2 linked regions of the Macaca mulatta genome follow. The protein of the gene in region 2 purifies or fractionates together with the protein of the main gene of each other region. This does not show direct contact. Links are inferred from orthologs where the notes say so. Each region holds a gene or a part of one and is shown on either strand. Other genes may lie near its edges.

Region 1 (7,766 bases), on a different chromosome or scaffold from region 2:
ATATAATAAAGATACATCACTTAAACCTTGTTTTGTGTAGTTTATCTGAGAACATTTAAAGACATGTCATGACTGCCCCCCTTCCTGCTATGTGGTACTGTAAGCTGACAGGAACAGCTTATAGGAGATCAAGTTTGAGTGCCTAGGGAAGAAAGACAAAGACACAGGACAAAGCCTGCTGGGCCTGGCTGGACCTCAGCAGACAAATCTGGAGGAGAAAGGGGCATCAAAATTCTAAGTAGAGACAGGCCCAATGAAGGGTAGTAATAGACCCGTTGAGAGTGTTTTGGCCAGGTACCATCCGTCCATCCTTTCTTCCTGCCTCAGGTATCCTTGGAGTGGCACTAGTGGTTTTTTTTTGTTTTTTTTGAGACAGTCTTGCTCTGTTGCCCAGGCTGGAGTGTAGTGGCACAATCTTGGCTCACTGCAACCTCTGCGTGCCGGGTTCAAGCGATTCTCCTGCTTCAGCCTCCCGAGTAGCTGGGACTACAGGCACATGCCACCACGTCCCACTAATTTTTGTATTTTTAGTAGAGGCAGGGTTTCACCATATTGGCCAGGCTGGTCTCAAACTCCTGACCTTGTGATCCGCCCTTCTCAGCCTTCCAAAAGTGCTGGGATTACAGGCGTGAGTCACCGTGCCCAGCCATGGCACTAGTTTTAATGCCTCAGTTGCCCTGCCTCCCTCCTAAGTAGATGTTAAAGGCTACTGCTGTCTGCCCATGTACACATGTTACACTTACCAATGCGTAACTTTAGCAGTAGAGTCTGTGGATCTGTGGAGTTCTAGTGTGGTTTTTCTCTCCAGTTGTTAAGCTCAAGGGAAGCAAATGTCTTACTCTCACGTATTCCTCACATATAGCACATGGTAAAACTTTTTTTTTTTTTTTTTTTGAGACAGTCTGGCTCTGTTGCCCAGGCTGGAGTGCAGTGGCGCATCTCAGCTCACTGCAAGCTCCGCCTCCCGGGTTCACGCCATTCTGCCTCAGCCTCCCCAGTAGCTGGGACTACAGGCGCTCGCCACCATGCCTAGCTAATTTTTTGTATTTTTATTAGAGATGGGGTTTCACCATGTTAGCCAGGATGGTCTCGATCTCCTGACCTCGTGATCTGCCTGCCTCGGCCTCCCAAAGTGCTGGGATTACAGGCGTGAGCCACTGTGCCAGGTCTTTTTTTTTTTTTTAGAGACAGAGTCTAGCTCTGTTGCTAGAGTGCACAATCACAGCCTACTACAGCCTCCAACTCTCCAGCTCAAGCAATCCTCCCACCTCAGCCTCCCGTGTAGCTAGGACTACAGGCATATGCCACCAGCCCGGCTAATTTTTGTATTTTTTGTTGAGACGGGGTGTCGCCATGTTGCCCAGGCTGGCCTCAAACTCCTGGGCTCAAGTGATCTGCCCTTCTCGGCCTCCCAAAGTGCTGGGATTGCAGGAATGAGCCACCATGCCTGGCCAAAACATTTTATTGATTAATTTGTGCTCTATGTGTTGACAATGGTGCTTCCTTGCTGTTCTCCCACCAACTCACTGGCAACGGGTTATAAACCCTTTTTCAGATCCTACTAGGTGTCAGCCTACTTCCGGCTGGGGGAAGATGGTCATAGCCAGAGGGGAAGAATTAGTTCAGTGATGAGAACATGGTTGGTTCCTGCCTTCAACAAGCTTTCAATCTAATGCCTGATTTTTTTTTTTTTTTTTGAGACGGAGTCATGCTCTGTCGCCCAGGCTGGAGTGCAGTGGCCGGATCTCAGCTCACTGCAAGCTCCGCCTCCCGGGTACACGCCATTCTCCTGCCTCAGCCTCCCAAGTAGCTGGGACTACAGGCGCCCGCCACTTCGCCCGGCTAGTTTTTTGTATTTTTTAGTAGAGACGGGGTTTCACCGTGTTAGCCAGGATGGTCTCGATCTCCTGACCTCATGATCCGCCCGTCTCGGCCTCCCAAAGTGCTGGGATTACAGGCTTGAGCCACCGCGCCCGGCCATGCCTGATTTTTTTCAAGAACAATTCAGAACGGTCTGACAAGGGATTTTTTTGTTGTTGTTATTTGTTTTTTTTTCCCTGCCTTTCGGCCTCAGAGGCCATCTGGGAAAAATAGTTTAGAATTTCCCTGCCATGGCCGGGCGCGGTGGCTCAAGCCTGTAATCCCAGCACTTTGGGAGGCCGAGACGGGCGGATCACTAGGTCAGGAGATCGAGACCATCCTGGCGAACACGGTGAAACCCCATCTCTACTAAAAAATACAAAAAACTAGCCGGGCGAGGCGGCGGGCGCCTGTAGTCCCAGCTACTCGGGAGGCTGAGGCAGGAGAATGGCGTAAACCCGGGGGGCGGAGCTTGCAGTGAGCTGAGATCCGGCCACTGCACTCCAGCCCGGGCGACAGAGCCAGACTCCGTCTCAAAAAAAAAAATAAAATAAAATATAAAGAATTTCCCTGCTGTGCGGGGAGGAATATTTGAAATCGGACCTGGCGGGGTACCAGCAGGCAGCACAAGCAGGTGGGGTAGAGAGGGGCAGGACGAGGCCCCAGGAGCCGTCACCATAGCAACCCAGCCTGCTATCTAGTAGCTTATACCACCCACGTGGAGTAGCATACACTACTTTGTAATATCGTGGTTGTATCGTGAGAACTTTAAGATTTTGCAGTTCCCTATGGGCAGGAGTCCTGTTTGCTGCTACTTTACTGTACTAGGCTTAGAATATTTTATGAAAATAACTGACAGATCAGCCTCTGAGAAATTCAAGCCCCTCCTTCCCTTCCGGGACGGAGGATCATAGAGCTGTATGGCGCAGCGAGGCCTCCTGGCGCCATCGAGACGCGCAGAGGACGGCTAGAGCGTTGCTCGCCGAGGGACTTCCTCTTCGTTAGTCCTCCTTCCCAACATGGCGCAGTCTATTAACATCACGGAGCTGAATCTGCCGCAGCTAGAAATGCTCAAGAACCAGCTGGACCAGGTAGTGACGGGCCCCATAGGCACCTCTTTCCCGCTCTACATCCCCCCTGCCCACGCGTACTTCCTTGCGCCCGGTCCCAAGTTGGGAGCCTACCTTGCCCAGGCGAAACCTCTATCCGGTCCCAGGACCCGCCCCCTCCCCGGCCGCTCTCCCTTTTCCCCATAGCCCTCTCATTGACCCGCTATACCCGTTCTCTGTAGGAAGTGGAGTTCTTGTCCACGTCCATTGCCCAGCTCAAAGTGGTACAGACCAAGTATGTGGAAGCCAAGGACTGTCTGAACGTGCTGAACAAGAGCAACGAGGGTATGGGGTAGGGGGGTGAGGGCAACCTAAAGTGGCAAGCCTGCTTCTCTCGTCCCACCTCCTAATCCAGTTTTTCTTACCTGAAACGAGAAAATCCATTACATATCGTATACCGCTTCATGAACCCTTTGCATGTTGCCTACCTAGAATTGAAATGTACAGGACGTTCCTCTGCTTCTATTGCCCCTGTTTCCGTTCTTTTCACACTGTCTGTGGGTGCTGTGCCCTCTTGGAACTCTCTTTAACGTCTTACATTGGAGCCACTAACCTTCCCCAGGTGTTTGTCTTCATTGCTTTCACAGGGAAAGAATTACTTGTCCCACTGACGAGTTCTGTATCCTTTCCACAGGAACGGCTACCTGCTGCCTTCTCCCTTTCTCCCTCACTCCTCCAAAAAGCAGGGAGGGGGATTGTTTTGATTACTTCAGTACTTCAGATTATCCTCTCCCCACAATGATTTTGATAACACCCTTTTTTTTTTTTAAAGACGGAATCTTGCTCTGTCGCCCAGACTGGAGTGCAGTGGTGCGATCTCGGCTCACTGTAACCTCCGCCTCCTGGGTTCAAGAGATTCTTCTGCCTCAGTCTCCTGAGTAGCTGGGACCGCAGGCACGCGCCACCACGACTGGCTAATTTTTGTATTATTAGTAGAGATGGAGTTTCACCATATTGGCCAGGCTAGTCTCGAACTCCTGACCTCGTGATCTGCCTGCCTTGGCCTCCCAAAGTGCTAGGATTACAGGCGTGAGCCACTGCCCCCGGCCAAGAGTACTCTTATTACACACTTTGTAGCTCTTTTATCTAACTTCACACCAACATCCAGCTAATGCCTTGTGAACACCAAGGAGTATGTATAGTTGAGATGTAATATTTCCCTTTGCTATTTGAGAACATTAATATGGAGATAAAGCTGGTGGTTTACACTTTGCTAATATCTTAGAAGATACAGGTAATAGACAAAAATAGGAGGATATAGGAACAGGGAGGTTGGCTCTGTTAATTGTGGCTCATTTCTAAACTGTCACTAAGAAACCTGGATTGTGTCCACTTGTTCAGTGTTTTACTTGAATGAACAAGTTATGGCAGTAGGGCACCTTTAATCTGTAGTCTGAGAACTGACAGGCTAAAAGGAGCACAGGAATAGTAGTGTAGTAGGGAATGGTTAAAAAAAAAAATTAGCCAGGCACGGTTGCTCACGCCTGTAATCCCCAGCACTTTGGGAGCCAAGGCTGGCAGATCACCTGAGGTCAGGAGTTCAAGATCAGTCTGGCCAACATGGTGAATCCCCGTCTCTACTAAATATACAAAAATTAGCCGGGCGTGGTGGCACACACTTGTGATCCCAACCACTCCGGAGGCTGAGACAGAAGAATCACTTTAACCCGGGAGGCGGAGGTTGCAGTGAGCCAATAGCGCGCCACTGCACTCCAGCCTGGGCAACAGAGCGAGACTCTGTCTCAACAAACAAACAAAAAAAGAACTTCGGTAGGAATTATCTACTTCATGATTGAGGGTGTTAAGGGAAATGAGGCTGGCTTTCCACTTGTAGTACTCTACAACAGTAGGAAAACATTATATCTAGTCTTTCTGATGGGGCTAATGAGAAGAATTGCAAGAACTGCTTAGAGGGTGAGAGATGGGATGAGGCAGAACAAAAGGGTGTTCCAGCATACATCATTTTCTCCTTAAAGAACCAACTTCTCAGTCTTCTTTCCATTTGGAGTTATTGTTCTAAGGCCTCCAGATTATTCAGTCCTTATGCCTTGAAGCTTTTTGGAAAAGGGTCTTTGGAGGCCAAGCAGGCTGGCTGGCGGAATCATGGCTCATGCTGGGCTAGTTTTTGCCTTAATACTTGCTTCTCAGATGTATGTCCCTGGGAAGCTGCATGATGTGGAACATGTGCTCATCGATGTGGGAACTGGGTACTATGTAGAGAAGGTGAGTGAGAGCATGTGGATGCCCCTCTGAACAGGGAAGGGAAATTTAGGGGAAGTTCTAGAGTGCAACATGGCCAGAGGGAGTCTCCTTTTAGCCCCTCATTCACCTCTGATCTTGTAGACAGCTGAGGATGCCAAGGACTTTTTCAAGAGGAAGATAGATTTTCTAACCAAACAGATGGAGAAAATCCAACCAGCTCTTCAGGAAAAGCACGCCATGAAACAGGGTAAGTTTTTCCTGGGGCACCTCTTGACCCTGTCTATCTCCATGATAAAGAACGTGGATTGCAGAGTGAACCACGGGGGTGTCCCCTTTGCTGGAGTAAAACTACGTCTTAGTTTCTCTTTGGAATCTTTAGAATCTGTGTATTGCATAATCACTATCTGTAGATTCCTGGGTTGAGTGTTTGAGAAATTTAGAGGAAGGAAATCATTTTTGTGCTTTGGTGGAGCTCCTTTTTAATGAGGATGGAATGGGGGAATGAGATGAACACACAGGAAGGAATCATGATCCAAATGAACTAAATACCAGCAATTATAACCCTGACCGCACATGAGAATCACTCAGGAAGTTTAAAAAGAAAGCCTGGGTCCATGCCAGATTGACTAAATCAACTTGGAAGTCAAGGGAAGGGAAGTTGTACCAAGGTATGTTTTTTTGTTTTAAAAAAGCTCCCCTCTGTTACAATCAGGATTCAGAACCAGTGTTCCGAAGGTAAAAATCTTTCCACATTATAGTTTTCTGATTATGTCAGACTCATTTAATACCAAGTGTGTTCGTTTTTATATATCTGATTAGCAGGGTTTTTTTTTCCCCGAGACAGTCTCATTCTCACCACACCCAGCTGTGGTTAACATATTGATTGATGCATTGTAGACCCTAAATTTGTGTTAGCGACCCCACAGTGGATCACTGAGTTAAAGTTTTATTAACAGTGCCAGACACGGTGGCTGACGCCTGTAATCCCAGCGCTTTGGGAAGCCGAGGCAGGTGGATCACCTGAGGTCAGGAGTTCAAGACCAGCCTGGCCACCATGGTGAAACCCCGTCTCTACTAAAAATACGAAGTTAACCTGGGCATGGTGGTGCATGCCTGTAATCTCAGCTATTCGGGAGGATGAGGCAGGAGAATCGCTTGAACCCCGGAGGCAGAGGTTGCAGTGAGCCAAGGTCGTGCCACTGCACTCCAGCCTGTTTGACAAGAGCAAGATTCCATCTCAAAAAAACAAAAAAGTTGGCTAGGCACGGTGGCTCAAGCCTGTAATCCCAGCACTTTGGGAGGCTGAGATGGGCGGATCATGAGGTCAGGAGATCGAGACCATCATGGCCAACATGGTGAAACCCCGTCTCTACTAAGAAAATACAAAAAAACTAGCCGGTCAAGGTGGCGGGCGCCTGTAGTCCCAGCTACTTGGGAGGCTGAGGCAGGAGAATGGCGTGAACCTGGGAGGCGGAGCTTGCAGTGAGCTGAGATCTGGCCACTGCACTCCAGCCTGGGTGACAGAGCGAGACTCCGTCTCAAAAAAAAAAAAAAAACAAAACAAAAAAAAAAACGTTTTATTAACAAACTGTAGTTAGTTGTCCACCTGTCCTTAAACTTGCCTATAACTTCTCCTTAACTCTAGGTTCTCCTTTTTGCTCCTAACCTTTGACGCTTCTTTTTTTCCACAGCTGTCATGGAAATGATGAGTCAGAAGATTCAGCAGCTGACAGCCCTGGGAGCAGCTCAGGCTACTGCTAAGGCCTGAGAGTTTTTGCACAAATGGGGCAGAGGGACACGGCTTTGGGCATGGCTTCCTGGTGCTGGGAAGGGTCTTGTGTTTAATGCCAATAAATGTGCCAGCTGGGCAGAATGTTGGTCTTTTCTTGGATTAAGCAAGGGACTGGTGATGAGATGGGGGGGTGGTCGAGAGTGTGGGCCCCGCCCCAGAGCCTGATGCACAGGGTTGATGCGGTGCTCCTCCTGAAGGCTCCACCGCAGGGCCCTTTGACCAGCTGGAAGAAATCCTAGGCTGGGAGTGAGCTGCTGCTCACTCTGCGGAGCTGGTTGCCAAGGCAACGGTTGGCAAGCGGAAGTGGAGCTCCGCTGGCGCTTTCCCTTCCGGGTCGGCCCTCCTGCCTCCCTACCGGGAGAGTCTTATGGGATACCGCTTCCTGCGCGGTCTTTTAACGCTGCTGCTGCTGCCGCCACCTGTGTATACCCGGCACCGCATGCTCGGCCCAGAGTCCGTCCCGCCCCCAAAACGACCCCGCAGCAAACTCATGGCATCGCCCCGAATCGGGACGCACAATGGCACCTTCCACTGCGACGAGGCACTGGCATGCGCACTGCTTCGCCTCCTGCCGGAGTACCGGGTACAGTCCGCGAAAAGTGACCCTGACACTGCGTGCATGCATGCCTCCAGGGTGGATGGCATTCCGCTGACAGGGTCCCTCCGATAGCGCGGGGCATCCCAAGCACCCTTCCTACCCGCCCTGTCTCCCTGAAGTCCAGCTTTAATCTCCTACCCGGCGACCTCTGGCAGCCCCTTCACCCCTGTGTACCTCGCAGGATGCAGAGATTGTGCGGACCCGG
Region 2 (7,775 bases):
AGTTCAAACCCAGGCTCTGGTACTTCCTGGCTGCTGTAGCCTTGGCCAGGTAGCTTTGTCCTTCTGAAACGCTATTTCCTCTCCTGTAAAATGGTCGATAACAATATTGTGTGGTATGGGGAGGATTAAAACATTTAACAACATGCAAGTCACAGAATATGTACCGTGTCAGTTTTATATGTTACTATTACTGTTGCATTAGTCCGTTTTCACACTGCTGATAAAGACATACGCAAGACTGGGTAATTGATAAAGAAAAAGAGGTTTAATGGACTCACAGTTCCACGTGGCTGGGGAGGCCTCACAATCATGGCGGAAGGCAAAAGGCACATCTTATGTGGTGGCAGACAGGGAGAATGAAACAAGAGAAAGGGGAAACCCCTCATAAAACCATCAGCTCTCATAAGACTTATTCACTACCACGAGAACAGTATAGAGGAAACCACCCCCATGATTCAGTTATCTCCCACCAAGTCCCTCCCACAACACATGGAAATTATGGGAGCTACCATCCAAGAAGAGATTTGGGTGGGAACACAGTCAAACCATAACAACTATCATTATTATATATTTCAGCGAAAGGCAAAGGTTAGCATAGATGAAGGTTGAGGTCCCTTCTGGTCCTAAGATCTATGAATTTGAGGATTGAAGTGCTTCTCTCTTTGAAACCCCCTATGCTACTTTCAGTCCCCACCATACAATTACACTTCCTCAAAATTCATGCTCCATTGTTCCTCACCTTTCAACTCAGCCATTTCTCAATAAAGGTTTGAAAAAGTCAGAGTTCTTTCTCTCTTTCTCTCTCCCTCCCCCGGTTTGGCCTTACCAAGGTCTAAAACACACTCAGATCTGGCCCCTGCCTTGCACCCCAGCCTCGCTCCATGCTGCTCAGTCCTTTCTACCATGTCTCACCAGGCTCTTTCCCTCTCAGCCCTTCAGCCCTGGGGCCCACTTTCATCTCCTCTCCCCATGCTGAGGCCTCCCATTTTCTCTTAGCTTGGAGGCCAGTTCCAGAGCCGGCCCCCACCCCTCCCCTCTGTGCTCTGCCTCAGCACCTCATTTATCTCCTTCATGCACTTGGTACCATTTGTGACAATTTTGCCCTTTATTTCTGTCTCCCTCTCCACCATTTGTTTCTTGCAGTGCTTTTACATTGAGCTCTGGAATAAACAGGTGTCACTGATGGAGCATATCCTATGCGCCAGACCCTGTGCTAAAATTTAACCCTGGAAAAACATTTTTATTCAACAAATACTTTTTTTGAGCACATATAAGCTACACACTGGAAAGTCCCAATACTAAGGGCCTGGAGAGCCCAGAACAGTCAGGAGAACAGGCAATGCCCGTGGCGGGCTAGGTGGTTCGGTGGGGAGAGCACAAGGTGCTGTAAGGTCTCATTCCCCTCATTGAACCAAAGAGGAAATTGGGACTTTGAGAAAGGAGGTGGCTTGTCAGGGGCAGTTCTCAAGCTGTGGTCCATGAACGTCGGGAGTCCCTGAGACCTTTTCAGGCATCCATGAGGGCCTCCCTTTCCCAACTGCATGATTTGTGTGAGGCTGGGGTTTTTCATACCTACAACTAGACAACTAAACAGTATATTTGGAGAGACTGAATGCAGAAGTACACATGAGAATCTAACCTTCCATTAAGCCTGATATTAAAGACATCAGTGAAAATGTAAAACGATGACAGTCTTCTCAATTTGTTTTTGTCTTAGAAAATATAGGTATTTTTAAAGTGTGATTTTTATTACCATGGAATGGAGTTTTATATTATTTTAAATGAATTAATAACTACATTTTTAAAATTCTGCTTTAATTTCTAATACAGCAAATATCGATAAATAACCCACATAAAAATTCTCTGGAGTCCTCAATAATTTCTAGGAGTACAAAGAGATCCTAAGGCCAAAAAAAAAAAAAAAAAAAAAAAAATTACTAATTGGGAGATACAAGTGTCAGAATATACAGTAACTGTTCAGTAATATTGCTGTAAATTAATCAATAGGATTGCCTATTCACAACAGCAAAGGCATGGAATCAACCCAGGTGCCCATCAGTAGTGGATAGGATAAAGAAAACGTGGTCCATATACACCATGGAATACTATGCAGCCATAAGAAAGAACAAAATCATGTTCTTTGCAGCAACATGGATGCAGCTGGACATCATTATCCCAAGTGAATTAACAAAGAACAGAAAATCAACCACTCATGTTCCCACTTACGAGTGAGAGCTAAACACTGGGTAATCATGGACATAAAGATGGGAACAACAAATGCTAGGGATTCCAAACACGGGGAAGGAGGCAGGGGAAAGGTGTTGAAAAATTACCTAGGGAGTACTATGTTCACTACTTGGGCAACGGGATCATTAGAAACCCAAACCTTAGCGCTATGCAATATATCCGTGTAATAAACCTGCACACCTACCCCCTGAATCTAAATTTTTAAAAAAATTACATTAAAAGATAGGAGCGCCTCCTCCTTTACACCACCTGAATTATCATGGCACGTAAGTCTCACACCCTATTTGCCAAGGCCATTCGTTCCTAGCTCTTTTACAGGGAGGTCAGCTTTCTCAATGCAAGTCTGTGGGACGGATGCAGAAAAATTCCCCCAGCCTCCCCTTTGATCCTGCCCCAGCTGGTCCCCGCCACGCTGAGGGACGCGTACCCTGGGACGCGCACCCTGCTGCCCGCAGCCGGAGCCGTTCGCCACACCCCCGTGTTTATGTCGGCCCACGGGGGTTGCCTGTCCCTTTAATTGGCATGTACCAAGTCTTTCCAGGTCACATTTCCTCCCTACGTCCCAGCCGTTTGGAATCATTAGCCAAAAGTCCAAGAGGAGGGAATGTGGAGACAGTGTTGTATTTCTGCGGGGAGTTCTGGGCCGACCGGGAGCGAGAGAACGCTCGAGGACGAAGCGCGCCATTGCGGCCCTCCCCGCCGCGTGCCGTAGTCCAGTCCCAAGATGGCGGCCACCATGAAGAAGGCGGTGAGTGGGGCGCTCGGGGCTCTGGATGCGCGGGTGGCGCCGAATCTCGGCCGCGGGGGTTGGGGCGCGGGATGCTGGGGGTGCGCAGCTCCGAAGCCCGGCGTGGGACCCGAGGCCGAGGCCGAGGCCCTGAGAGCGGCCCCGCGGCAAGGCCTGCCCGCGCCTGGCGCCCTGAGCGTTTTCCTAGGCACCTGGCCAGCCGAGGCGGGGAGCCGGGGCTGGGGCCGGGAGCCTCCGAGGGCCCTGGGCCGCCTCCCGCGATGCCGAGGGTGCCCCCGGGGAGTCTGAGGAATCTGCAGCCCCAGCCTTGCCCCTAAGGTGTGGGAAGTCGAAGGTCTCGTTGAGTGTGGTTGGCCTTGACTCGGGCGTTGCACCGGCATGATCGCATTAGCCTCATTGGTTATGGGTAGCTGCTGCTGGGACCGTGGTTACGGGTGAGGAAACTGAGGCCCAGAGATGGGAAGTCACCTGCCTCAGGTTACGCAGCTCATAAGGGGGACAGCAGGTTCCTGCATCCCCGGATTATCAGGCCCAAGAGCCCCCGTGTCCAACCCGGAGCTGCCCATGTCCACGCTCTATGCCCCTGAGTCCTCCAGGCTAAAACCAGTATTTATTGAAGACGGACGATCTGCCGGCCCAGCAGCCGGCCCTTTATCCGTTATCCTCCCCGCAGCTCAGCAAGTGCAATGGGTTCCTCCCCACTTTGCAGGTAGAGAAACTTAGACACAGAGCAGTTAGGGGCCCCAAAGTGACTCAGCTAGTAAGAAGCTGAGCTGGAGTTCGAACTCAGGTTTGGTTTGGTTTTTCTCAAAGCACACCTATGTAACCACTAAGCAGGCTAAACTTCCATGTCGGGTTTATAAATCCGTGGCTTCCCAGATGTGTAAAGATAGCTAGACAGAAGAAAAAGAAAAGTGGAGAGGGGGAAGGAAATAACGACTGACAATTTGGGGAGCTTTACAGTGTGCTAGGTATAGCTGTACTTTTTTTTTTTTTGGGTGTATTGTTTATCTTATGTACTTTAGGGGAGATACTGTTTTTATCCTTATTTAACAAATGAGAAAACAGGCACGGAGGCAAAGCTAGCATTTAAACACAGGCATTCTGACTCCGGAGTCTGAGTTTTAAACTGCTATAGGGGGTCTTCCATGAGAATCTCTTGGCTGGCGGGATTTGCATTCATTCCACTTTTAAGACCACATTAGAACTTCCTTTGCTTTACCCCCATCCAGTACCACATAGTCTATGCCATCTGTGCCTGGTGTAGGGTGACCCATTGCCCCGTTTTATATGAAATTGAGGGACTGCCAAAACTGGGAACGCCCCAGCTAACTCAAGATGTGTTGCTCACCCTACTATTCTGCCATCCAAAAATTCTTACTGAGTCCCAGAGTAGGGTCCAGGGCCATGGTGATTCAAAACAGTATGAAACTTGGTGAGATTCACTTCACCTCTAGTTTGTGAAATTGGGCCCTCTGGTGTTAGGTATGGCCTTTAATTCCTTGAAAGATACTAGTTGTGGTTCACTCCGTTTTATAGGTATGGAAACTGAAGTGCAGAGAGGTGAAGTAAATGGTCAAAGAGGAAATGGCAGAAGAATGATTTGAACCCTGGATTTTGATTGCAAAATTTCTAATTATCAACTTTTGTTTTCCCCCTTTCATTGATTCAGTAAATTTTTGGGGGCATGTAATATGGCATAGTCTCAGTTTTAAGTGGAGACAACTGCGGTGACCAGTGAGGAAGTTCTTCTCCCCTTATTCTTATAGCCCCAAAGAACGTATGTTCCAGGACAGAGGCAGGCATTACTCACATAGTCACACAGAAAACTAGTTTCTCTGGTGAGAACTGTGAAGGAAAAGTACTTACGAAATGAGGGCCAAAATGAGGTCTGTTTTGAGATCAGAGAAGGCTTTCCTGGGAAAGTGCCATTTAAGTTGAGATCTGTGAGATTATGTAAGGAAAGAAAGGGAGAGTTGGATAGAGAATGAAGCATTCTAGAGAGGAGTATCTGCAGAGACTCTGAGTACATTTAATACAAGGAAGGCCTGATGGCAGATAATCAGGGGAAGAAAGTTTGAGCCATGATGGGAAAAGAACTTGTAGAAGGGTAGGTGGTGGCCAAAATATAAAAGATCTTCGTTAACTTTGAAGCCTTTGAGAGTCACATGATAGATGTAATGTCCTCCTGTAGATGTTTCCAGTGTTATGAACAATTCCCGATAGATTATCTTACATGTACGCTTTTCCCCTTTGCCCTCAATGGGAGAAAACAAACATGTATGCCAGTGAGTGAGAGTGAGACAGAGAGAGAGAGCCCTTTGAGTTTAATGAAAAGCAAATCATGTACAATCTGGAGTACTTTACATTTGTAACACATCGTTATCTCTCAACTGGTCATGATTTTGCTGGGGAGAATGTTTAGATGAGATGATTCAGTACTCTCATCTCTAAAGTTCTGCCTTCTAAGATCCAGTTCTTGACCATAAGGAGATCTGCACTTTGATTTCTGTTGATTATCCTACATACAAATGTTCTTTCCTCAGAGAGGCTACCTTTGACCTTTATCTAAAGAAGCCTCCTTCACTCCCCAGGCCCCCAAAACTTTCTTCTCCTAAGCTATTGTATTTTCATCATCACGTTTGTCACCATCGAACATTATCTCGTTCATCTTGTTTTTTTCTCTTCCTCCACCAGGATGTATGCTTGCCAGGTGGGATAGTGGCTCTCTTGTCATGGCATATAGGAAACAGTAATTGTTAAATAAACTACTGCATGGATGAAAGTTGAATACAAAAATTAGCTGGGTATGGTGGTGTGCACCTGTAGTCCCAGCTACTCAGGAGGCTGAGGCACGAGAATCGCTTGAACCCAGGAGGTGGAGGTCGCAGTGAGCCAAGATCACGCCACTGCACTCCAGCCTGGCGACAGAGCGAGACTCATCTCAGAAACAAAAACCAAAAAAAAAAAAAGAAAGTTGTTGAGTACAAATACAAAGCAAAAGTTTACATCATACAGACTTGGTAGATATGTTTTTAAAAGTAAAAATAAAAGACTGAAATTGGCCAGAATTTATTTCTAGGGACCCAGCTGTCAGTGCAGACTCCGAGTAATACCTAGACTTGGTGTGGGGCATGACCGAGTATGGTTCTGTTTCCTCCTCTAATCCCGTAAGATACTAGTTCTCAAGAAAAGAGCCCGGGGAATTTTAATTTTTACCTTGGATCTCGAGCAGGCGTATTTCTCTTTGGCCTAGCAGAATTTCCTTCTAGATCTGGATCTGTTCTTTGTAATGATTTTTGATAAGCAATATTCAGGATATAAAATGCTTGGCTATCATTTGACTGACTCCATCATCAAGCTTTCTCCCACATGTTCGTTTTATCAACCCTGTAAGGTAGGAACTAGCTTCTTTTTACAGATAAGAAACCTGAGGAGGTTCCATAGAATTGGGTAATTTGCCCAAGATTCCTGTTTGCTTGGATTGGATTCCAGCCTGACTCTCCACCATTCTGTGTGCTGCCTCCGATACTGTAGGATATGAAGAGCTTCCAGAAGAATGCACATACTATACATGCCATTTTGCATACAGTCTCGGGTTAAATTGACCTGTCAATGTCCATTGACCCTCCCCTAGTTAAGAATTACCCACTTCTGGCTGGGCGTGGTGGCTCACGCCTGTAATCCCAGCACTTTGGGAGGCGGAGCCTGGCGGATCACCTGAGGTTAGGAGTTCAAGACCAGCCCGGCTAACATGGTGAAACCCCTTCTCTACTAAAAATACAAAAATTAGCTGGGTGTGGTGGCACGTGTATGTAATCTCAGCTACTTGGGAGACTGAGGCAGGGGAATGGCTTGAACTCAGGAAGTGGAGGTTGCAGTGAGCCGAGATCATACTACTGCACTTCAGCCTGGGCAACAGAGTGAGACTCTCTCAAAAAATAAATAAATAAATAAATAAAATTACCCACTTCTTGCCAAAATGCAGCTTCAAGAAATGTAGGAATATTCTAGGACAGTGAGACTAAAACAGAAGCCTCTGTTAGCCATCAAAGGCACTGACATCTTACCTTCTGCTGTAAACAGCACTCCGTGGGCGGCATGCAGTGTATTTGACTCACACATCAACTTTAGCCCTTAACCCCAGTGGGAAAACCACCAGAAGGATCTGGATACCAGGGGCCAGGTCTGTGCTGATGGCTGTGGTTTGGTGGGGCTACAACAGGAAATACCTGCTTTGGAAAGACAGAAAGCAAATAGCCAAATTCTCTCTACCACATTTTGGAAACTATGTGTTTATGAGTTTGATCAAGCATGATTTAGGTTCAGATTCAGAAACCATGTATTAGCCTCAGTTATGTGCCAGGCAGTCCTGCACTGGATCTGTTCATGTGAATGGCTCTGTTGAGCCCTCACTGTGACAAATGCATCTCTAAATACCTGCTAAGGTTTTTAGGGGTTCAGTATTTAACCAAATGGCATCTACTCTTCAGGCAAACAGGAACTCTTCAGAATTCTTTGCTGTCTGTTTGCATAGGGAACTGACAGTTCTCACTTAGGCAAAATGACTTGTGTGCCAAGATATAGACTTGGTTTCTTGAGTGTAGCTCAGTGTTCCCCAACTTCCATATTCATCAAAATTATGCATATGGTTGAACACTCAAAGCTAGACAGAGTGTGATGTAAAGAGTTTTTTCTGGCTATCTTCTGGATTGTTGAGGTGGAATGAGAGCCTGACAAAGGGGAGGGCTATGTGATATTCTGACCACTGAGCTCTGTA

Evidence for each region. Proteins that work in one complex are often made in the same cells at the same time.
Region 1: the proteins of PFDN4 (region 2) and PFDN5 purify together in Homo sapiens (affinity purification with mass spectrometry; 5 studies listed by BioGRID and IntAct, counting the BioPlex papers as one, with this or other methods). This does not show direct contact. The link is inferred for Macaca mulatta from reciprocal best matches to the Homo sapiens genes PFDN4 and PFDN5.

The regions. Positions count from the first base shown.
Region 1 is NC_133416.1:60,438,283-60,446,048, forward strand, and holds PFDN5 (prefoldin subunit 5), read left to right. Parts: upstream 1-2,867; 5' UTR 2,868-2,879; coding exon 2,880-2,951; intron 2,952-3,151; coding exon 3,152-3,254; intron 3,255-3,556; coding exon 3,557-3,588; intron 3,589-5,117; coding exon 5,118-5,192; intron 5,193-5,312; coding exon 5,313-5,418; intron 5,419-6,862; coding exon 6,863-6,939; 3' UTR 6,940-7,042; downstream 7,043-7,766. UniProt on the Homo sapiens protein: Binds specifically to cytosolic chaperonin (c-CPN) and transfers target proteins to it. Binds to nascent polypeptide chain and promotes folding in an environment in which there are many competing pathways for nonnative proteins.
Region 2 is NC_133415.1:107,033,485-107,041,259, forward strand, and holds the start of PFDN4 (prefoldin subunit 4), read left to right. Parts: upstream 1-2,861; 5' UTR 2,862-2,971; coding exon 2,972-2,995; intron 2,996-7,775. UniProt on the Homo sapiens protein: Binds specifically to cytosolic chaperonin (c-CPN) and transfers target proteins to it. Binds to nascent polypeptide chain and promotes folding in an environment in which there are many competing pathways for nonnative proteins.